2 linked regions of the Canis lupus familiaris genome follow. The protein of the gene in region 2 interacts with the protein of the main gene of each other region in a pairwise test. Links are inferred from orthologs where the notes say so. Each region holds a gene or a part of one and is shown on either strand. Other genes may lie near its edges. The genes, in order: GPSM1 and CCDC158.

What was found.
Region 1: the proteins of CCDC158 (region 2) and GPSM1 interact in a two-hybrid assay, tested with the Homo sapiens proteins (2 studies listed by BioGRID and IntAct). The link is inferred for Canis lupus familiaris from reciprocal best matches to the Homo sapiens genes CCDC158 and GPSM1.

Annotation. Positions count from the first base shown.
Region 1 is NC_049230.1:49,138,480-49,145,455, reverse strand, and holds part of GPSM1 (G-protein-signaling modulator 1), read left to right. Parts: intron 1-2,898; coding exon 2,899-3,120; intron 3,121-3,741; coding exon 3,742-3,877; intron 3,878-4,480; coding exon 4,481-4,623; intron 4,624-5,232; coding exon 5,233-5,356; intron 5,357-5,461; coding exon 5,462-5,577; intron 5,578-6,198; coding exon 6,199-6,354; intron 6,355-6,976. UniProt on the Homo sapiens protein: Guanine nucleotide dissociation inhibitor (GDI) which functions as a receptor-independent activator of heterotrimeric G-protein signaling.
Region 2 is NC_049253.1:39,111,667-39,119,288, reverse strand, and holds the start of CCDC158 (coiled-coil domain-containing protein 158), read right to left. Parts: upstream 4,798-7,622; 5' UTR 4,577-4,797; intron 1-4,576.

The sequences.
Region 1 (6,976 bases), on a different chromosome or scaffold from region 2:
GGCACCTGCCTTGACTTTGTATCTCTGGAATGGCCTTTGCCCTGGGCCTCGCACTCGCCCTTTGACTCGGGTTCCTCCATATGCTCTGCTCTGACTAGCTTTGGGGAGCAGGGCCCAACCTGGCTCCCCAGTTCCCTCTGATCTCAGAGCTGTACCCCCTCCTCTTCCCAGGGTCCAGAGCCTTGGAGGCCTCTGCTGCCCCAGTGCCTGTTGCCAAGCCAGGCAAGTGGCCTGGCAGAGTCTCCACCCCGCGCCCCACCCCCCCCTGCAACCCAGACCTGCCCTCTCTGCTGACGATGCTGATCCCCTGCTCTGAGCTGCCCTGATCCCTTGATCCATCTCAGTTGCTGGAGGCCCCAGACACCCTGCCTAAGGACCTGGGGTCTCTTGGAAGCCAGAGCCTTTGGCCCACCACTCTGGGGTGGGTGGAGGCAGGGGACCACGAGGCGGGCACATCCCCAGGGCCAGCAGCCCGGGTGGGGCAGTTGTCGGCAGGCCTGGAGGGAGGCCTGGAGCCCCAAGATGCCGGCTGCCTCCACGGAGACCCAGCCTGTGGCCCTGAGCTTGGCAGAGAAGGCTGTCTGCAAGGTGGTGTATGGCGCCCCCCGTCCCCGCCCCCTGCTACTGCCCGTGGGCCTGGAGCTGTGGCTGCATGTGCAGAAGATGCGCAACCTGCGGAGGAAGAGGTGCGGTGGGCAGTGGGGCAGGGGCCGTGGAGGTCAGGGTCTGGAGGGTCTCGGGCCAAGTGGAGGACACCTGCCTGCCACCTCCTCACATTGCTGGGCCCGTGTGGGACCTGCCCGTATGTGATTCAGGATGCTGTGTTGGGCACCCCCTCACTGTGCCCCTGGGCCCTTGACACAACCTCTCCCACGGTGATGGTAAGGACACATGTCTAGGCAGGAACGCTGGGCTGGGGAGGCCACTCCCCCAGTCGTGTCTGTCAGCCAGCAGGGTGTGCTGGGCTCAGGACCCAGCAATGTCAGACTCCAGGCCCCCGTCCTCCCAAGTCACCTGGGAGGAGAGATCACTCAGCCGCATCAGAGAGCTAGTGCCAGCTGGGTGAGGACGAGCCGCCCTTAGTTAAGGAGCCGTCTGCACGGTGGTGGCCAGGCCAGGGGATGGCTGCTGGGGGCTCCTGCCATATGGCATCCGATGTACCTTCCCAGAGTGTGGTGGGTAGGAGGCCGAGACCCTGGACCCCAGCTCTCCGAGAGGCCACCCAGGCTCTGCTTGAGTCTGGAGGGTGCAGGGCAACGCCAGGTCCTGGAGCCCACTCTCCACTGGGGAGTCCAGGCTGGGCCAGGGGCACTGTGACGGAGACCTCCCACAGAGAGCCCTGAGTCCGTGTGGTGTGGGGCTGTTTGGTACGCCGTCTTGTTGGAAATGTGTAAAGTGCCCATTTTCTTGACGATGTGGGAGTCAGGTGGACAGGGCACTCTGGTTTGTATCAGCAGGCTATGTGGGCAAAACGGCTGAGAAGTATGGCTGTGGGCAGATTTGTTTGTTGAGAGGATATGTGTGATTCTCCTCCAGTAACTGCTGGTCACTGGGGGGACATGGCCAATTTGGTGTGGACACCTTGAATTACCCTGCAGGCTTTCCCTGGACCCCGGTGACTGGGGTTGGCCCTTGGCCATGCAGAACGTGTCTCTCACTTTTCCAGGGCCATGTATGTGGCCACTGGGCCCCTCCTGCCACCTGCCTGGGTGCCCTGCAGCCTGGAGCCCCACTCTTCCCACCCTAGGGCAGGGCAATGTGCCAGGCCTTGAGGCTGGAACCCACAGGACCAGCTGGAATAGGGCAGAGGAGGAGACCGAGGTTCTAGGTGGTGATGTGTCCTACCCGGGACCCCACAGCAGGGAGAGCTGGAACCAGGGCCAGCCTGATCAAGTGACTGCCCACACAAGGCTCTTCTGACAGCCCTGTCCTTGGGGCAGCTCACCCAAGGCCCAGGGGTCGTGGGGCCCGCAGTGAGCAGGGCCCAGGTAACAGCTGGGGGGCTTGGACCCCACCTTGGGGGCTAGCAGGGCCTAAGGGTAAGGGGCTGCTTCTCTGAGGCCCCTGCCCAAAGGTCGGGAGAGGAAGCCTCCAGCAAGGGCACTGGTTGTCCCATGGAACCCCGGGCTCTTGCAGTTGGGCTGGGTTCAGGGCCAGGAACCTGGAGCAGTTTCCCACGGGTCCAGGGGTCGTCCATCCCGGGATGGGCCCTGTCATGTCCTCTTGCAGTAGCGCCATGGGGATGGGGAGACCTGGGAGGTGACCAGCTGAGCACTTAGCCCGTGGGGCTGGCTGACCCTTGGCTCCCATACAGCCATGCCCCCGAAGGATGGGAGGCGAGGACAGATGATGGCTGAGCCCCCAGCTGCCCACAGAGACCTTGGAGGGCGGGGCCCACCCTAGGACATAGGATGCAGTCAGCTCCTGCCCATGTGGCCTTGACCAGTTTTCTCTGAATCTCCCAAGGCCTCGGCTGTCCTGGGTGAGAATCAGGGCCTGCCACGGGCTGCTGTGGCTGCTCTGGAGGAGGGACGTGGCCCCAGGCCTGGGGGGCCCTCGTCCAGGTGCCCGAGACTTCTTGAAGGCTGTGGCCACCGTGGCCTGAGGGTCTTGCTATGGTCACAGACTCATGCCTCTTCCTGGGCTGAGCCCCGGGAGCGTGAGGGGTGTGCAGTGCAGCTGGGGCACAAGTGAGCCCACCTGGGGACAGGCACAGCACTGGAGCTGGCACTCGCTTCCAGGCAGTCCTCCAAAGACATTTCCGACTGTGTGCACAGGGATGGAGGGGGCCACCGCTCCCCGAGGGCCTCGTGGTCCTGGTGACACCTGGGCAGGGAGCACAAAGGCCCCGTGGGACCACGCAAGAGGTAGGCGGTGACTTGTGTCCCCTGCGCGCAGGATGGAGGCCTCGTGCCTGGAGCTTGCCCTGGAGGGGGAGCGTCTCTGCAAGGCTGGGGATTTCAAGGCGGGCGCGGCCTTCTTTGAGGCAGCGGTGCAGGTGGGCACCGAGGATCTGAAGACGCTGAGTGCCATCTACAGCCAGCTAGGCAACGCCTACTTCTACCTGAAGGAGTACGGCCGGGCGCTGGAGTACCACAGGCACGACCTGCTGCTGGCCCGGTGAGGTGCCCTGCGTGTGTCTGGGGAGCTCAGGGTGCCCAGGACCCCGGGGCGGGGGGGGGAGGACCGCACAGTGCCCCCGGCAGCGCATGTTGTCTCTCTGTCGGCCCGTGTTCCCAGCGTGTCCGCCTGCCCAACTCCGGAACCCCGTGCACACCTGTGTGTGGGCTCCATAGGCCTCACTGTTCTCTGGCCTCCAGGCCTGGGCCCGAGCTGCTCTTGCCCTGGAACACGCTCTGCTCCTCCTGTACGTGGGCAGTGGGTGCCCCACAGGCCCTTCCCTGGCCAGCAAGCCCCTGACGGCCCCTGACACCCAACCAGCCTGTCAGAAGTTATTCACACCACCGGGCCCCATGGCTCTCCCGGGTTCCATCCGGGCACCTCCCCAGGCCCTGACAGTGGCAGGCTGGGCCCAGCAGAGAAGTGACCCTCCCCTGCTCAAGCAGGGCTCCCGACCCGAGGGGCCCTCCCCACCCACCCCAGAACCTCAGCCCAGCATGGCCCCCATCGGCCCAGGGCTGGTCCTGCCAGGCCTCCCCTACCCTCACCTGGGCTTCCTGCAGCCCGCAGCATCCTGAGCCTGGCCTTTGGCCTGGCCGCACACTGCCCCCTGCCCTCCAGGACCATCGGTGACCGCATGGGGGAGGCCAAGGCCAGTGGAAACCTGGGGAACACGCTCAAGGTCCTGGGCCGCTTTGACGAGGCCGTCGTCTGCTGCCAGCGGCACCTGGACATCGCCCAGGAGCAGGGGGACAAGGTGGGTCAGCAGCTTCCAGGGCAGCTGCCCCTCCCAACCCCATGACCCGGGGCCTCATGGGAGGAGGATGGAAGAGTGACCCCTGACACACTGCAGGGCTGAGTCCCTAGCTCCCCATCCCCCATGTCAACTCTTCCTCTCACCGACCTCTCCCAGTCTGGCTCCAGAGGGAGGCAGGGTGGCGTGGCAGCTGGGGATAGAGTCGCTCTGGGCCTAGCTCTGTGCCAGACCTTAGGCTGTCCCACTCAGTAACCTCCCTCCATGACCCTGTGACATAAGCACAGACGAGGAAACATGATGGCTTGCCCCACGTCGTATCTCATGGCAACCGGGCCCGGCTGGGAGCGCCCTCCTTCCCCTGGCACCACACAGAGGCCTGGCCACCCTGACGGCAGAGACTGAGGGCTGTGGGTACCGGATGTGGCTGCACCTCCTCTGCTGAGTCGGTCCCAGGGTCGTTTGGTTGCCTCATCCTCTGTCCACAGAATGGCAGTCACGTGCCAGCACCCCCACCCCTCCTTGGGGCCCCAGGCCTACCTCAGCATCCACACTTGCCTTTGGGGCTGTGTCTGTGGGTCCCCCCAATGTCGGTGCTGCCCTCAGGTCGGGGAGGCGAGGGCACTGTACAACATCGGCAACGTCTACCACGCCAAGGGCAAGCAGCTGTCCTGGAATGCTGCCCAGGACCCCGGGCACCTGCCACCCGACGTCCGGGAGCCACTGCGCAGAGCCTCCGAGTTCTATGAGTGAGTGGGGCGGACAGGGGCACCTGCAGAACCAGCGGACCGGGCTTTGTCCACGCTCTCCTGGCGCTTCCCGGGCCACTGCCACTGGCCCAGGCCCAGAGCACCCATGTCCACCCCATCACCTCTCCACCAAGCCCGCGTGGTGCTGGCCAGTTGACTCTCCTTCCCCACCCCCCCCACTGGCCCCGTCCTCAGGGCCTGCGGGGAGTGCACCAAGCCTCCTGCCGCTTCCCTGTGCGTCAGTCCCCCACCCAGTGCAGAGAAGCAGGGAAAGCACCAAGCAGAAGCCATGGGTGGCGTTTAGAAAGCACATGGCTGGAAGGGGGGCAGGGACATCGGCCAAGCCTCGTGGGTGGGAGAACCTTGCCCCTGAAAACCAGAGTGGGGCAGGCGAGCCCCGGATGCAGGCCTTGGAGCTCATGGTACCTGCTGGCAGTGGCACCAGAGCTGGGGGGCCCACCCTGAGCGGCCCTCATTCTGGGGCACACTCCTGGGAGGAACCGAGCAGAGGACACCTGTCCGTCACCCTCTAGGCTAGGCGGGTGGGTCACAGGGCCCCTGCTTCCCGGGCATTGAGAGGGACACAGCTCAGATGGATGCGACCCCCAGGAGGAATCTGTCCCTGGTGAAGGAGTTGGGTGACCGGGCGGCCCAGGGCAGAGCCTACGGCAACCTAGGCAACACCCACTACCTGCTGGGCAGCTTCATGGAGGCCACAGCCTTCCACAAGGAGGTGAGTGCACTGTGGGGCCCCCAGCCACCGTGTCTGTGCGTCTGTCATCCACATCGGGTCCCGCGGCTACTCTGTAACCACCCAGCCTTGGGTCTGTATCCTCAGCGCCTGGCCATTGCTAAGGAATTCGGAGATAAGGCAGCCGAGAGGAGGGCCTACAGCAACCTGGGGAACGCCCACATCTTTCTGGGGCGCTTTGACGTGGCCGCCGAGTACTACAAGTAGGCAGGCCTGCCCCCCAACCCCTGCCCACCTCCCCACCCACCCCCACCCCTGCCCGCCCCCACCTGCCCAGCCCGGGGGCCAGGTGGGGGGTTCTGGCCTGTGTCCTAGGGCTATCAAGGGCAGAAAGCACCACAGCCCCTTCCCTTGGTACGTGCTGGCAGAGGCCACTGTGTGCCGGGGACACAGTTGGCCACAGCTCGGGGCTTTCTGATGCTAGCTGTGGGGGGGAACCCCCAAAATGTCTTTACTCCCCACGATAGCTCTGAGTGCACGTATGATCCTTGTACGGACTCAGAAGGTCAGGACCATGTGGGCTCCTGGGAGTCCCTGACCTGTGCCCGGGGAGCCCTGTGAACCATCTGCAGAGCGGTGGCCACCATGTAGAGACTGGGTCATCGGCCCCAGGTCCCGGGCTGAGCTTTACCATCCTGAATCAGGAGCCCGGGCTGGGCTGTGTTGTCCCCCAGCCCTCTATGGAGACTCTGGTGGGATCCTGGGGCTGAGGTCACAGAGCAGGTGGGCTGCATCTGCATCGCCCACTGCCCACCCCTCAGATGAGGGCCATGCACAGTGCCACGCCCCCTCCATTTGGGACTGACCCTCTGTCCTCTCTGCAGGAAGACACTGCAGCTGTCCCGGCAGCTCAAGGACCAGGCAGTGGAGGCACAGGCATGCTACAGCCTGGGCAACACGTACACGCTGCTGCAGGACTACGAGCGCGCAGCTGAGTACCACCTGCGGCACCTGCTCATCGCCCAGGAACTGGCTGACAGGTTAATGGGGGGTGGGGGTCAGGCCTGGCCCACAGGCCTCCAGACAGTCCTTGAGCTGCAAACTGCTTTCAGCGTGGCCCTGCCCTGCTGCCGAGCACCAGGAGGCCTCTCCGAGCAGGACGGCCTGCCTGGCCTCAGCCTCCCTCTGCCATTGGGCCATGCCGTCCCGAGTGGGACCGCATGAGACCAGGTGGGTGCCGGCTGGCCACCTGTGGTGACCGTCAGGGTAGGCTGGTTGGGGATCAGCCCCCTGAGCACCCCGTGTCTGCGTAGCCTCAGTCTCTCAGGAGACACAGAAGTATCCTACATGCATGGGTGTGGGGTGGGCGGCCAGGGCAGGGGCAAAGGGGCTGCTGGCAGGCTACTCTGTTGGGAGGCTCCAAGTGGCTGGCCCTTGCTCTGGCGGGCGATGGCGCTCTGGAACTAGATGGTGACGGCTGTGGATCAGAAGTACACACAGAGCTGAGCATATGCCCAAGTGGTTAAATTTATGTTTTGTGATTTTTCACCTTAATTGAAAGATTGATGACCTGAGGGACTGCCCCTACCTCCTGCCCCCACACCCAAGGGTGGAGGAGAGCCTCACTGGCTGGTAGGGGACAAGCGAGACCCGCAGGAGCCC
Region 2 (7,622 bases):
TCTGAGATGGGGCACCTGGGTGGTTCAGTTGGTTGAGTGTCTGTCTTCAACTCAGGTCCTGGTCCTAGGGTACTGGGATCAAGCCCCATGTTGGGCTGCCTGCTCAGAGAGGAGTCTGTTTCTCCCTCTCCTTCTACTCCTATGCCAACTGATGCTCTCTCTCTCTCAAATAAATAAATGAAATCTTTTTAAAAAGTCACATCTGAACTAAGACCTGGTGGATGGGAAATATGAAATCAGACACTCAAAGAGGTTTGAAAGTTGGGATAGCGCAGCCCCGGTGGCTCAGCGGTTTAGCGCTGCCTGCAGCCCAGGGCGTGATCCTGGAGACCCTGGATCGAGTCCTACGTTGGGCTCCCTGTATGGAGCCTGCTTCTCCCTCTGCCTGTGTCTCTACCTCTCTCTCTGCATCTCTATGAATAAATAAATAAAATCTTAAAAAATTTTTTTAAACATTGGGATAGACAGTAGAGCCTTGGAATGTTCAAAACAAAAATAAAGTCAGTATTATTGGATTATAGTAAGTTTCTTAGTCTGTTCAGATGCTTTAACAGAGTACCATGGTCAGAGTGCTTTATTAACAATGGAGATTTATTTCTCACAGTTCTGGAGACTGAGAAGCCCCAGATCAAGGTGCCTGCAGATTCAGTGTCTGGTGAGGGCTGGCTTCCTAGCCCACAGATGGCCAAACGGGTGAGGGAGCTCTTTGGGGTCTAAGGGCACAGGTCTCACTCATGAAGGCTCCACCCTCATGACTTAATCACCTCCAAGGCCCCAACCTCCAAATACCATCGCATTGGGGAAATAGGTTTCAACACATGAAGTCAGGTGGAGAGAGGGCACATAGTCTATAGAAATAAGCAAGAGAGAGAGTGGTATGATATGAAAATGGAAAGGTAGTCAGGGGTCAGATCATATTGCACATTGTAGGTTTTAGGAGGATCTTGGGCTGAGTTTCAGTATAGGATGTGAGTGTGCATCACACTATGAGTCTTCTTCTATTTATGGTAAGACGGACTCATGGTGTGTATTTAAGCCCTGGGAGATTTTTAGTGCTGGTTCTTGAAGCCACCTTCTCTTCTCTCCCTCATGGATTTCTACGGTACTTCTTGGGTCTACAACAAGATAAGGCCTTCCAAAAGACAACTGTCAAAGTTTATTATAATTTATGGAGTGATATACAAATAAATCACAAATATTCTTGTTTTGATTAGTTGGGAGACATTTTTCTCTATCACATAACTGTTTTTTTTTTTTTTAATTTTTTAAATTTATTTATGATAGTCACAGAGAGAGAGAGGCAGAGACACAGGCAGAGGGAGAAGCAGGCTCCATGCACCGGGAGCCCGACGTGGGATTCGATCCCGGGTCTCCAGGATCGCGCCCTGGGCCAAAGGCAGGCGCCAAACCGCTGCGCCACCCAGGGATCCCTCTATCACATAACTGTTGATTAGAGGGTTATTTATCACTTCAAGCCAACAAGATCTGCTGGGGTTGCTTTTGTCACAGTAATATGACTAATCTTATTGAGGTCCTGCTCTGCAACAGGCATGCTGTCTCACATAAACTTCACAGAACTGTGAGGTAGAGGTCCCATTATTATTTACATTTTATAGATAAACGGGAAGCTGGCAGAACTAATTAGGTACTAATCTAAGACTTCTTTTTTTTAAATTTTTATTTATTTATGATAGTCACACAGAGAGAGCGAGAGAGGCAGAGACACAGGCAGAGGGAGAAGCAGGCTCCATGCACCGGGACCCCAACGTAGGATTCGATCCCGGGTCTCCAGGATCGCGCCCTGGGCCAAAGGCAGACACTAAACCGCTGCGCCACCCAGGGATCCCTAATCTAAGACTTCTTTAAATGTAAGCTTGAGGGATCCCTGGGTGGCGCAGCGGTTTGGCGCCTGCCTTTGGCCCAGGGCGTGATCCTGGAGACCCGGGATCGAGTCCCACGTCAGGCTCCCGGTGCATGGAGCCTGCTTCTCCCTCTGCCTGTGTCTCTGCCTCTCTCTCTCTCTCTGTGTGTGTGACTATCATAAATATGACATATCATAAAAAAAAAAATTTAAAAAAAAAAAAAATGTAAGCTTGAGAAATACTTTTGAAAGTGAAAGCTGCATTGTCATTGTGCAGTTCCAAAGAATACCTCCATCTACTTCATCCCAAAGTCACGATCAACTGGTAGAAGGAGTGGGATGTGTGAACTGTGGGGAAAAAAATCAGGTAGCTCAATGGCATCTTGAAGGTAGCTAGTACCATGAAATGAGGAACATTCCTGCGATGTCAACCTCAGGAATTAAATTGGCCTCCCAACATCTTCCCAGACCCTCCTTCCTGCCTTTGTACTTCTGCGGTGTTCTAACCTTGGTCTCAGTTCACCTCACTGATTGTTGTTTTTCAATGGGGATTTTGCTGTATTTCATCTTAATGTACAGTCATCAATAGTGCCTTTGTTTCTCTCTTAGGCTTTTGTCTCCTTAGTTGACTTAAACTCTTGCTGCCCATCAGCCTAAACCCTGGGGCTTAACTCTTGGGCTGCATACATTCTGTCACCTGGATAGGCCATGATAAATAAAACCTTAACTCTCAAATCAGGTCAGTTACCCAAGGAAAAACACTAAAACATGAAACAGTCGAAAGCTAACAGAGGCTGGATCCACTTAGTTTATCCATACAACCTCAGGCTTGAGGTTCATGCTGATAGAGCACTGATTTTCTAGGGTACTTCAAGTTCATGCCTTCCAGCGAGGTGGAGATCAGCTCCACAACAGATGGTCTTCCATGGAGGAGTCTCCATTGTAACTAACTTTATTTCATTTGTCCCTTTCTAGCTCTTGCTTACTTTATGATATAAACAAATTACTGAGTATTTTCATATCACTCCTTAATAGCCAGTGCTCTTGGCTTGGTCTGCTGCTTAGCTTACTCTCTTCATGCTTAACCCATCTGCTCTGGTTCCATGACTCATTAGTCCCACCCTCCCTGAAAGGCATACTCTCTAGCTCTCCTAATAGTATGTTCCCTTGGAATAATCCTGAGACCTCCACACACAATTGTTCAAAGCCATTGCTGCCTAGTAGTGCCTAGTTCAACTGGCCTCATCCCTCATCCATTCTTGGCTCCTGGCAATAGTTCAGACAGATCCTAGAATTGTAAAGATCTCAAGACTAAAGATAATTATGGCAGGAATTCGGAATTAAAACACAAGACAATTTAAGTGGAGTAAGTATTCTTCAGGTTAGTTGGACTAAGTTAAGTGTCTAGCACTTTGGGTATTATATTATATTCTAACCACACGTTTGCTAGAAAGTAGGAAGAAAGATTAAACTTCTAGAAGTAACTGTCTTATTCCTTTGCTTTAAAAAGTTGAAACTTTTAATGGAAGAAGTTGTATAGGCATAATTTAAGCTTTTATCATCTTGTGTGTGGTCCTCTGAGAAATTCACATTTTGGGGGGTTGCCTTGTCTCAGGGAAACTGGGGAGTGAGCTGCTGGAATTCAGACACAGGATCTGGTTGGGTTCCAGCAATAAATACACATATTGGGAGCCAAGATAGGATATTAAAGGAATGGGACAGTGAGTAAATTTTGGAGAATGAGTTCACAGAAAATACTTGACACTTTCATTTTTGGATTTTGGTGGTGGCAGGGGGTTATTCTTCATATTTTCACATTTGAGTAGCAGGTGAAAAACCAGACAACCATTGACCTAGGTAAGTATAAGTAGCAGGAAAGTTAGTTTTGTTCTTCAGGATTGCATTATGGTTGCATCCTGGTGCTCTTGACTCAACATTTACACTTAAATGAGTTGCTTAGCAGTGTCTTGTAAGAATTACTATCACAGCTTTCTGTGCATATATAAGTCGATGCATTTGACCTTATGAAGAAACTGTGGTGGGGCATCTGGGTGGCTCAGTGGTTGAGCATCTGCCTTTGGCTCAAGTGTGATTCAGGGTCCTGGATCTAGTCCCGCATCAGGCTCCCCGCAGGGAGCCTGCTTCTCCCTCTGCCTGCCTGCCTCTTTCTGCCTCTCTCTCTCTTTGTATCTCTCATGAATAATAAATAAAATCTTTAAAAAAAAAAAGAAGAAGAAACTGTGGTGTGGGCCCTTACAGTGTGCCAGGGTGTAGTGCCCATTTCTGGACCCAGGCACTGTAGGGTACTGCAGTCAGCTTTCCTCTTGATAAGGGAAGGCAAAATAAAGAGGGGAGGACTGCAGGTAGAAAGCAGGAAATGGACACATAGTAACAATATTTATATTCACTCAGTTCTACTGTGGGTTGGATAGATACTATGTTAAGTTCTTTTATTTATGGTTTTGTAGAATGAAATTTGATGAAATGAAAAAAGAGATTGAAAAAAGATTTTTCCTAAATGATAGAGCCTGGATTTAAAGCTGTTTCATGTGTTCACTGGCATGTTCGGTCCACACATTATTTATCAAATGCCTAAAATATGACAGCATGGAGGAAACGACAGCAAACAAGGTCTCTGCGCCCAAAGGGCCTGTGTTCTCTGCTGCTGCTTCTACCACCTGCAGCGACCAGCACCGCCACGTCCCATTCCCTCACCTTTCACGTCAGGGCATGTTGGCTTGACCTCCAACTGTCAGCATCCTCAACTGTCAGCATCCTCAACTGTCAGCATCCTCGTCTGTTGGGTTAAGGACTCTATTTTGCCTCCCCTTTGCTGCCTGTTTAAGGACGCTCGGAGCAACCCTCCCCACGTGCCCGACTTAAGCTGAGAACCGTCGGGCTCTGGCGTGGCCTCTCCTCTCGCTGCCTCTGCGCCGCGTGGTGGGAGCTGCCCGGTGGCCGGGGCTGGGCTGGCTGCGCTGGCTGCGCTGGCTTGCAAGGGCTTCTGTGTGGACTGTGCCTCTCCTGCCTCCCCGCCCACTTCCCCCTCGATTTTCTGCACTTTCTAGATACGCTAGTACTTGCTTTTGAACTCTTGTCTTGGAGTCTGCTTCTGGGGAAACCCCAACCAAGACTAGCACCCCTTGGCGAATGCTAACTAAGGAAAAGCCTGAGCCTGAAGTGAATCTGATTCCAAAGTCTCTGGTCTTTCCACTCCGCCACGGGATTCGAATCAAAGGGCCCCAGTAGTATCTTAGACCTACGTTTTCTTGGGTGCTAAGAAAAGGAGAAATTCATTCTTGGACTGCCTTCCTCTTTCTTCACTGAATGAGTTGATGAATCACACTGTTTTTATCATCACTTCTTTTTTCTGTATGAATCAAGCTACAAGAAAATTTCTCTTCCCCTTTGAGAGGACAATCCAATGTCTCTTTTGTTCTGTAGATCGCTTTCTTCTAGAGGCTCTACAGGTTACTGGTTAAGGAAAATGTGCTCCCCTGTGCAGAATAGACAGGGAAATCTAATTCTTTGGGAGCTCTCTGAGCAGATTTCTTTTCTAGAATTTTGTTTATGAGGTTTCTATTCTTTCTGAGTTCATATGATAAACATACACGAGAAGAAAGTGGACAACATACTGTTTTTCAGTCCAGCATATTTGACATTATACCATGGCAGTGGAATGAGGTTCGGCACCTAAGCAAGCAATAAAATATAGTATAATTTCTAATCCATCCCAACCTCAAAATAACACAGTGACTTTTTGACAGTAAAATGCAGTGTTTTTAAAGTAACTTGTACCACTGCCAAATTCAAAGCAAGAAGCTTCTTTTGAAGCCATTCCCCTCAATATGAATATGCTTAAAAAAAAAAAAAAAGAAAACGAATATGCTTTGACTCACTATGTTGTTGTCTTTTTACAGTTTCCCTGTTTTTTGTTGAAGTTCACTGAAGATTGACAGATAGTAGCTTCATGTGACAGCCATTAGCCTGGCCAACCTAAACCTCAGCATGATCAGGAATGGATAGAATAATGAATAGATTTTACATAATATAATTCATGTTGTCAGCCACATGAAATTGGCCATTCAAGAGAAGCTAAATATGCTTCTGGTCCTCTCTTCTTTAATTCACATTCAAATATGACAATGCAAAAGGCATTATTCCTTTTTTGTTTGTTCATTTTTTTCAGAGTTCATTTTTTTGAACTCTGAATAATGGAGCAATGAACTTTACTTAAAAAGAGCAAGTGAAGAAGGTATTTGCCTCTTTGTACGAGTAGGGATTAATGAGCATTTTAAAAAATCATGTTTGGGTGTATGTGAGCATAAGGAGTAGCATTTCATCATAATGAGGGAGGTCTTGGCAAGTCAGTGTTCACTTTAACTTTATGATGTTGATTGCAGAACACGTTGATGCCTACTCTAACTGCATGTGGAATAGAAAATAGATTCAGAAAGTGGCAGAGAAGAAAATTATCTCCCATCTTCCCATCTCTCAAGTGCAGGAAAAATTCTTCTTAGTCAAAGTTCCCTGGCTTGTCCTACGTAAGCTGTCACTCCATGGAAGTGAAAAATACACCTTGCTATATGTTGCTGGTGAGAATGTACAACGGTGTAGCCACTTTGGAAATATGGCGGTTTTTAAAAATGTTACTCTATCACCCAACAATGATACTTCTAAGTATATGTACCCAGGAGAAATGAGAACACTTCTGTAAAAAAGACACACTCAAATGTTCGTGGCCTCATTGTTTACAATAGTCACCAAGTGGGAAAAAAATCCAAATATCCATCAACTGGATAAATAAAATATGGTATACCTATATGATGGAATACTGTTTTAGGGGAAAAAAGGAACTGAATGCTGACAGATGTTACAACATCGATTAACCTCAAAAATATTATGCTCAGTTAAAGAAGCCAGACACACACAAATACACATATTATGCAATTCCATTTATAGACACCACTCAAAAGAGGCAAATCTGTAGAGATAGGAAGTAAATTTCTTTCTGTGTGAGGCTAAGGATGGGAGTAGAGAGTGAATATAAATGGGTACGAAGTTTCTTTCCGAGGTCATGGAAATGTTCTAAAATAGATCACAGTGATGATTCCACAACTCTTTATATTAAAAATCATTGACTATAGGGAAATAGCTACTTTTTTTTCTGGTAATAAAATGAGAAGGAACAAAAAAAGAGAAAGATAGAAAGTAAATAAGAATCACAAAGTAGATTATTACTCACCATGTATTGATTTAATTAACTGAAATTTAAAGTAGTAGAGGAAGATGACCAAAACAAAGATCTAAAAAGCACAACGGAGACCTAATTACCTAAAGAAACAGGAAAATCTAAAAAGTTGTTCATAAGTCAATTTAGGGAATGAGAAAGAATATGCCACATTCAGAAGACCTAGGCAGTGGATTCTAGGATTTTCTCTGAAGGAAGAATAAAGAATGCCTTTCTCATTGTCAAATACCAGGATCTTAAATCTGTATGTTTGATTTTGCCCATGTTTTGTGTACCATATGTTTCTGGAAGGATGAAAGTGCAGTGTCCTAGGAAAGCAAAATAATGTAAAACATGAAATTTTTGGCTAAATTACTGAGGTTAGAATTAAATTCTTCAGTAGAGTTTGAGGACACACAGGCATTTAACATTGTGACAAAAATATTATGTTACAGAAGAGTAAGGTGTGCTGGCACTTTAAGCTTGAGGAATTTTTAGTCATTGAGACTATGGAAATTTAGTGAAGTCTTA